2 linked regions of the Schizosaccharomyces pombe genome follow. The gene in region 1 interacts genetically with each later gene. Each region holds a gene or a part of one and is shown on either strand. Other genes may lie near its edges. The genes, in order: SPOM_SPBC1604.16C and cao2.

Region 1 (3,645 bases):
TAAAAACACCATCTGATACTTTTACCCTTACTAATACTGACTCGGATAAAAAGACTTCGAAACCGGAGAAGATTCAAGCTGAGCTGGTTGAGCAATAATTTATATACGTCCTTTTTTAACGATCACTTAAATTCACGGGAAATGGTTTGGTTTACTAATAATTTATGCACATACTAAAGAATAAATGAATACTATAAAAACATTTTTCTTGGTAATAACTATAAAAAACAATAATGCTTATATACTCAATAGAACTTATATAGCTAAAGCGATAAGGTAAAGTACCTGTGTAATGAATTGATGTTAGTTACTAAAAATTTTGCTTTTTATACCTTTAAAAACTAGTAAATTGTTAATTTATTAAATTGATTTCTTGGCAACGACTTAGAAACTTACAGTATATCACATACTCTATAAGTTTATATTATTAGTGTATGACCATAGCTTAACATGAAATACTTTTTTCATAGAATTTAAGTTCTCTAATAACTAAGTGACATTACAATTCTGTTAATATTCTTTGTTTACAAATCAAACAAATAATAAAACATTAGACTTAATAATTATCTAATAGAAGTTTAAATTGGCAATATCTATGCAATATTACAAAGAGCTAGCTAGGCGATTGCATACTCTACAATCAAAAAATGAAAAAGAAGCTCTTGAAAAAGTACCGTTTTTAATTCACTATTTTCAAATTTTAACCAAATATAGCAAATAGACTTTTTGGACAAATTGGTGGTAGAGGTGGACTCGTTGGTTCATGAACAAGATTTGAGGCCATTATTAGAGTTCATTAGCCCTACTGAAAGTTGGTTTTTACTGGGTACGGCGACAATTTTTTATATTAAATTATTAACTCATCCAGACCCTGAATCGATTGATGTAGTGATTAAAGAAGCGTATGTTGTGCGCGCTCACCGGATATTAAGCATTTTTCAAGAACAGTTTATAGAAAATGTTGTTAAAGAGATCAATTGGGAAATCCTAGCTATTTTAATATCATTAAGTGGAATCGAGAATGGACTTGTACGCAATTTGTCAGAATTCCTCTCAACTTCAATCCTCAGCGCTGTTCCTAGACAAAAATTCTTATTATATCTTCTAGAAAAGTATCAAATAAATCTTTTTCATAGAGAAGAACGGTTGACAGATCAAGGTAGACCGGTTGCATTTGAATTACCACCAGACAAATTTCACAGTGATCAAAGTAAAGCACTTCTTGAGCCAAAGTGGAAAACAAAAAATTATCTCATTTCTCACCTTATTTTTTGGATAATTGATCAGCAAAGTTCTTCTAGCATTGAAGTATGTTGGCACAGAATCATTCCATCTGTACTCCGAATATTGAATGATTTATCTCCAAACATTAAACTACAAGGAATTGAGCTAGTCAACAGATTGTTAAAAATTACGGAAAGAGAATTTCTTTTATATACTGGAATTCTAAAAATTTTGAAGGACGATTTGCTCGTATTCTATACTTTCATACCGCCAAGATTTACAATTCAAACGAGTGTTACCCTTATAAATGCCTCCTTCGCAACCCTAGTTTCTCTTTATCCTGAAGAAAATGAAAATTTAAATTCTATTATGCTGAACGGTATTAATTCTGTGTTTCAGTTTGCATTCGATTATCCCCTGATTCTTCAAGCCGCATTTTCTCAAATTATGGTTTTAACTGACAAAATGAATGTTAGTTATTTACCATACCTAACGGTAATAATTTAAATTCGTTACATTTGAAAGTTTACTAATCGCACTTAGTTGACTCTGGATGAACTGTGTCGTATAATACAAAACCCACAAATCATACAGATACCATCGACACTCTCCTTTTTTTTAGAAATATTAACAAAACTATTGGAAATTTACAGTTATCGAATATCTGCACACCATGTTGAGTTATTAATGGCACTAGTGGTTTGCAGTAGAAATTATATGCGATGTAACTTACAAGAGCATCACAATGCAATTGTACAAGCGCTTCAAAACCTCTTCACTTTGATAAAATTGAACATAACTGTTGAGCAACTCGGTGATTACAATGTAATATTGCCACTGCTTGAACCCCTGCAAATCCCACTTTGAGGTACATATAAGGAAAGACTCTCCTCATTACTAACCAACCTTCAACCTAGATAAATTGGTAACAATGGTTATTCGAAAAACGATGGAAAATGGAGAATAAAGGAAATATGGAGCTGTCAAATTCTTATGGTTTTTATAAAAATGGTCGTAGGGTTTCATTCGTAAAAGCCACTAGTGAACAATCGTTGGACGAAGCCACTTTTATTGAAAAAGGATCGGCACAAGCATTTTATCATTCGTTATTTGAAAATGATAGGGATAATTCGCATACTATGAACAGCAAGAGGGACGAAGCTGGTTTTGCTTGTGAAGTGTGTCAAATATACATTCCAAATAGCAAAAAAATTAATCATTTTAAATCAATGACTCACCTTCTTTCTTCACAACATATTTCAAACAAATTTCAACCCCATTTATTAAAACCAAAAAGCCTTGGTTATCGAGTTCTTTCTCAGTATGGTTGGTCTCCCCAAGGAGATACTGCTGGATTGGGTTTGGAAAATCAGGGTCGTCGTGCCCCGGTTAGAGCATTTCGTGTAAAAAATGATACGATTGGACTCGGTACCAAGATTGATTTGGAGAAAGTTGCAGTAAATAAATGTCGCAAAGGCAAGCGTCAGTGCCAAATCCAACACTCAAAGGATGTACGCCTTAAAGAAGCTTTAATTAAACATTTTTCGTCTAATTGAGTTTATCCTTCTTGCATATGTCCAAACGTCATTAACAATTTTAAGTGTGCTAAATTTGTCCCATTGAATGTACATATTTTATAGTGTTTAGTCGATTGGTTATAAATCTATAGTGTTCAGTTAAAACACAATTGGATGTTTTTTTTTCATGAGGTTTTGTTGTGGAAACACATTAATTAAGGATAGCATCACCCTCTTTTCTTATGAAATATTTTTTCTTTTAGTCTTTGTAACATGGAGGGCTGCCTGTTTTGAAATTTTGATTGTTGAGGTACAAACCGCCGAGTAAGCAAATTAAATATACCCCCAAATGTAAGCGCTATAACTGTTGAAGTAAATATGATTACGTTATACGGCATACTAAAATCTGGTGTAGGAATGAACATTAGAAGCGCAGCAGTTCGTAGGCTACAAAGCTTGGTATTGTTTTCATCAAACACGCTGATTATTGCTGGAGGAAGATTGTAACCACGATTTGCATCGGGAGGATATTCGTCTAGGCGTAAGGGTGTTTTTTCTACATTAAAATGAACAATCAGATTTGTATGTGGAGGTATTGAAAACTGGATTTCCATCATCGTGCCTGCCTTGCGATCTCTTAACGGTTGATAATACAATTTTTCAATAAAATCTTTAGTATTAATACGTGTTCCATTCAAAGTGATAGTTAAAGTATGTAAGTACACGCGCACGAACCAAGGAAATTTTTCAAAATAAACAATAGTTCGAGGAGAAGATGAGGGATTGTAAATTGTAGAAGACAAACTTCCCCAATGGTTGCCATCGTTCGAAAGGGAACGATCAACAGTGACTGTATGATTATCGGAAGTAGATTGAATAGGGATTTGAATATTTGCAGCTTCGT
Region 2 (3,936 bases), 530 kb from region 1:
ACAAAGTCTTTGGTGATGTCTGCGTAATGTAGCGACAAATCTTGCCATTTTAAATCCAAACGTAATTGGAACCGCCTGTTGTAGGTTGCTACGACCAGCCATAGTTGTTTCACGATGCTTGATTACAAGAACGGTTGCAAGTTCAATTGCTTTTTCGAGATAGCCCTTTATGATTTTGAAGCTATCGATCATTTGTCGTACAGTAGCACTGTCCGTCACATCTTGAGTAGTTGCACCCCAATGGCAGTATTTTCCTGAATCACCGCTACATAGATTGGCGAGTTGATGAACTACTCCAAGAACTGGATACCCAATATTAATGGTCTCTTCCTCTAGCTTCGAGAAATCTATGTTCTCAACTTTACAAACCCTTTGGATTTCCTCACCAGCATATTTCGGAATTATGCCTAATGATGCTTCTGCCCTTGCTAACGCAGCTTCCCAGTTTAAGTATTCTTGAGTGCGATTTTCATCTGACCAAATTTTTCGAATTTCAGCATCTCCAAAGATATTACGAAATACAAAAGAATCTGATACACTAACTGGCATTTTATTTAATTCTTTGGCTATCAAGCACTAGAAATGTGCCGGCACAAGAAGGCATTTTGTTTATATACTTGAGACGGCGTAAGCTCCTTTCGTCATACCTAAACTCTAAGTGTAATCATTGTTCAAAAATTAATTAACTGTACAAATCACGCAGTGCCTTAATAAAGTACTTTAAACAATATCTACCTTAGAATATTGAGGCATAACTATTAAGGATATATAGTAGGTTTAGTGACTGTAGCGCTCGTATTGAAGATAGGAATAAATTTAGGAACTTTTTGCAATTGTATGAAATAAAGATTCTTCTTTATTTTCACCTATTCACCAAATACTTCCTGAGGTTGAAATTAAGCATTTTTTCCAACAAAAATGCAGATCTTGAGTTCCTTTCAACTGGTAGCGAATAATAAAAAAAGAGTTTAACATTTGAAAGAATATTGTTGAAAATCACTTTTTTGGTGTTAGCTGTTAATTTCTGATTGTTAAGGACATATATATGTTTATGCTATGAGTATGACATATGCGAAAAAGTTCGATCCCTCGTATTGTTTGTTCAACTATAAACCATCAACGTATTAACTAAACAAACCAATTCAAGTCCATGTAACTATTTGCGCATTACATTGAACTGAGAATAGTCAACATCTTTCTTGTAAGAGCTTTCCTAGACTAAAGGTTGACAAAACAATAAGCCTTGAAAATTCAACTACCTTTTTATCTAGTATTCTAGTAGAATAACAGTTTTATCTGAATGTTTCTGGAATCGAGCTACTAGTAATTATGTCTTGTTAATTATTGCTGTAAACTCGACCAACATGGGATGCAACACACAATCATTAACTTTTTTATGCTAAAATGATGCATATAATGATGCCGATGAATGGAAGGAATTTTTGTTACTTATTGTTATTATATTTTTTAACTCATTAAGTAAGGCTTCTCAATTCAGTTATCCCAAGAATTAATGCCTTCATTTCCATTTCAACTTGCGGAAGCCCTCATTGCTATTAACTTTTAACCATTAAATGCAAGAAATTTGTATTTATTATTGAACAATGGAAGTATGATTTATTGAAAATGATAAGGATTCCATTTGTTTATTATAAGACGTTGATTGTATATTGCATAGACAAGAGTATTGTAATACACGCTACATTTCAATTGCAAGCTACTGCATATATATTAGGGTTGTAAGTGCGCTCATTGCGTCAGTATCGATTTATTTAGATTGTAAAAGAATATTGACGGGGCAATTTCAGGTATTAGCGATTGCGAAGATTACGGGTCCAACGATCGTAGCTTCACTCCCGTATGATTAATGATCCCACCAGACGGGTAAGGATTTACAGCAGTTCGTCATACTAATCGGTTGCGGGTACGGTATTTACACGAGGGCGGAACGCTAATTTTTCGTACTTTATAAAAGTAGTGAGGGTATCCGCTAAATGTTGGCACAACATTTCATATTATAGCAAGGCAGTATTCGGTGAAACTATCAAGAAGACTAATTATTTAACGAATTATCAGAATTTGAAGACAATTTTATTTTATTTGAGTTCAATTGAACAAAATGGCAGAAGAAAGTAAAGCTGCAGAGTACTTTGATCCATTGGACCCATTGAGCTTTAATGAATTAAGATACGTAGTAAACCTCGTTCGGAAAAGCTATCCTGAAAAACAAATTTCTTTTGATGTAGTTACGCTAAGTGAACCACATAAGGAAGAGTACGTTCATTGGAGATATTCTTCTGCTCATGAAGGTATACCCGACAGAAGGGCTTACGTGATTGTACTAGAAAAAGAAGTTCCTGGAGTATTTGAAGGAATTGTCAACCTTACTACTGGAAAAATAGAGAAATGGGAGCATTCCGTTGATACTTGCCCAATAATTACAGCGGATCTACTAGCCATTACTGATGAAATTGTAAGAAATGATGCAAATGTAATCGAGCAATGCAAAATATGCGGCGTTCCTGAAAGTGGATTGTCTAACGTCTATTGCGACCCTTGGACCATTGGTTATGACGAGCGCTACGGTTCTGGTCGGAGGCTTCAGCAAGCTTTAATGTATTATAAACCCGGCGACAGTGGTCATCTTCGTTCCATTCCGCTGGATTTTTGTCCTATAATTGATGTTGATCAGAAAAAGGTGATAGCTATTGATATTCCCAAAGTAAGACGTCCTATTCCTCAAGATGTAAATTCGGATAACAATTTGAAAAAGCTTGAGCAGGAGATGGAAGCTATGAAAATGCTTAAACCACTCCGTATTACTCAGCCAGAGGGTGTAAATTTTCGTATTAAAGGACGCTATATCGAATGGCAGAACTTTTGTTTTCACATTGGGTTCAACTATAGAGAGGGAATTGTTTTGTCAGACGTAGTTTTTAATGAGGATGGGCACCTTCGCCCTCTTTTTTATCGAATTTCGCTTACTGAAATGGCGGTTCCTTTTGGGGCAAAAGGACATTCGCATCACCGAAAGCATGCATATGATTTAGGGGAATATGGTGTAGGATACCGAACAAATCCTTTGTCTTTTACTTGCGGTTGTGAAGGTGTTATTCATTACATGGATGCTGATTTTGTTAATTATCGTGGTGAAATAACAACTATAAAAAATGCAATTAGCATCCATGAAGAGGATGACGGTGTGCTTTTTAAGTATTCTGATCTCAGGGATCGCAATGCAAATATTTCAGCTAGAAGTATTAAGTTGGTAGTCTCACAAGTATTTACTGCTGCCAACTATGAATACCTTGTTTACTGGATTTTCCGCATGGATGGAGTTATCGAATGTGAAATCAGACTAACTGGAATTTTGAATACGAACGCCATAAATGAAGATGAAGACTTAAAAGGTCATGGAACACAAGTATATCCAAAGATCAGCGCTGAAAATCATGAGCACTTATTTTGCCTTCGAATCAACCCAATGCTTGATGGTTTAAGGAATTCAGTTGCTACAGTGGATGCATTAAGGGATAAGAATGGTACTCTAGTATCAAAATATATTATTCCAGAGACAGTAACTGAAGCAATCAGCAACTATGATTCATCTACCGGTAGGACCTGGGATATCTGTAATTTGAATAAGTTACATCCGTATTCTGGGAAACCTGTATCATATAAGCTTATTTCTCGAGACACATCGCCTGTACTCTCGCAACCCGGTACTACGAATTCTGATTGTTCAGGTTTTGCTGAAAATAATATTTACGTAACTCCTTACATGGACGACCAAATCTTCCCAACTGGTGATTATGCTCCCCAAGCCTCTGATGATACGCCTAAGGGGTTATCTAAATGGATATCCGATGATCCAAATGCACAAATTAAGAATACCGATATCGTCGTTTGGCACACTTTTGGTATGATCCATTTTCC

Evidence for each region.
Region 2: mutations in SPOM_SPBC1604.16C (region 1) and cao2 together harm fitness more than expected from each alone (negative genetic interaction), as found in Schizosaccharomyces pombe (one large-scale study listed by BioGRID).

Annotation. Positions count from the first base shown.
Region 1 is NC_003423.3:3,899,452-3,903,096, forward strand, and holds SPOM_SPBC1604.16C (G-patch type RNA-binding protein), read left to right. Parts: upstream 1-2,127; 5' UTR 2,128-2,180; coding exon 2,181-2,780; 3' UTR 2,781-2,959; downstream 2,960-3,645. Other genes in the region: cmp7 (ESCRT III complex subunit), read left to right, coding at 1-98; protein Tti2, read left to right, coding at 596-670, 715-1,719, 1,768-2,091; gpi16 (pig-T family GPI synthesis protein), read right to left, coding at 2,969-3,645.
Region 2 is NC_003423.3:4,426,803-4,430,738, reverse strand, and holds the start of cao2 (Cu(2+) amine oxidase-like protein Cao2), read left to right. Parts: upstream 1-2,000; 5' UTR 2,001-2,119; coding exon 2,120-3,936. Other genes in the region: SPOM_SPBC8E4.05C (fumarate lyase), read right to left, coding at 1-549. UniProt on the Schizosaccharomyces pombe protein: Copper amine oxidase-like protein that does not show any copper amine oxidase activity. May be the appropriate amine substrate for cao2 has not been identified yet.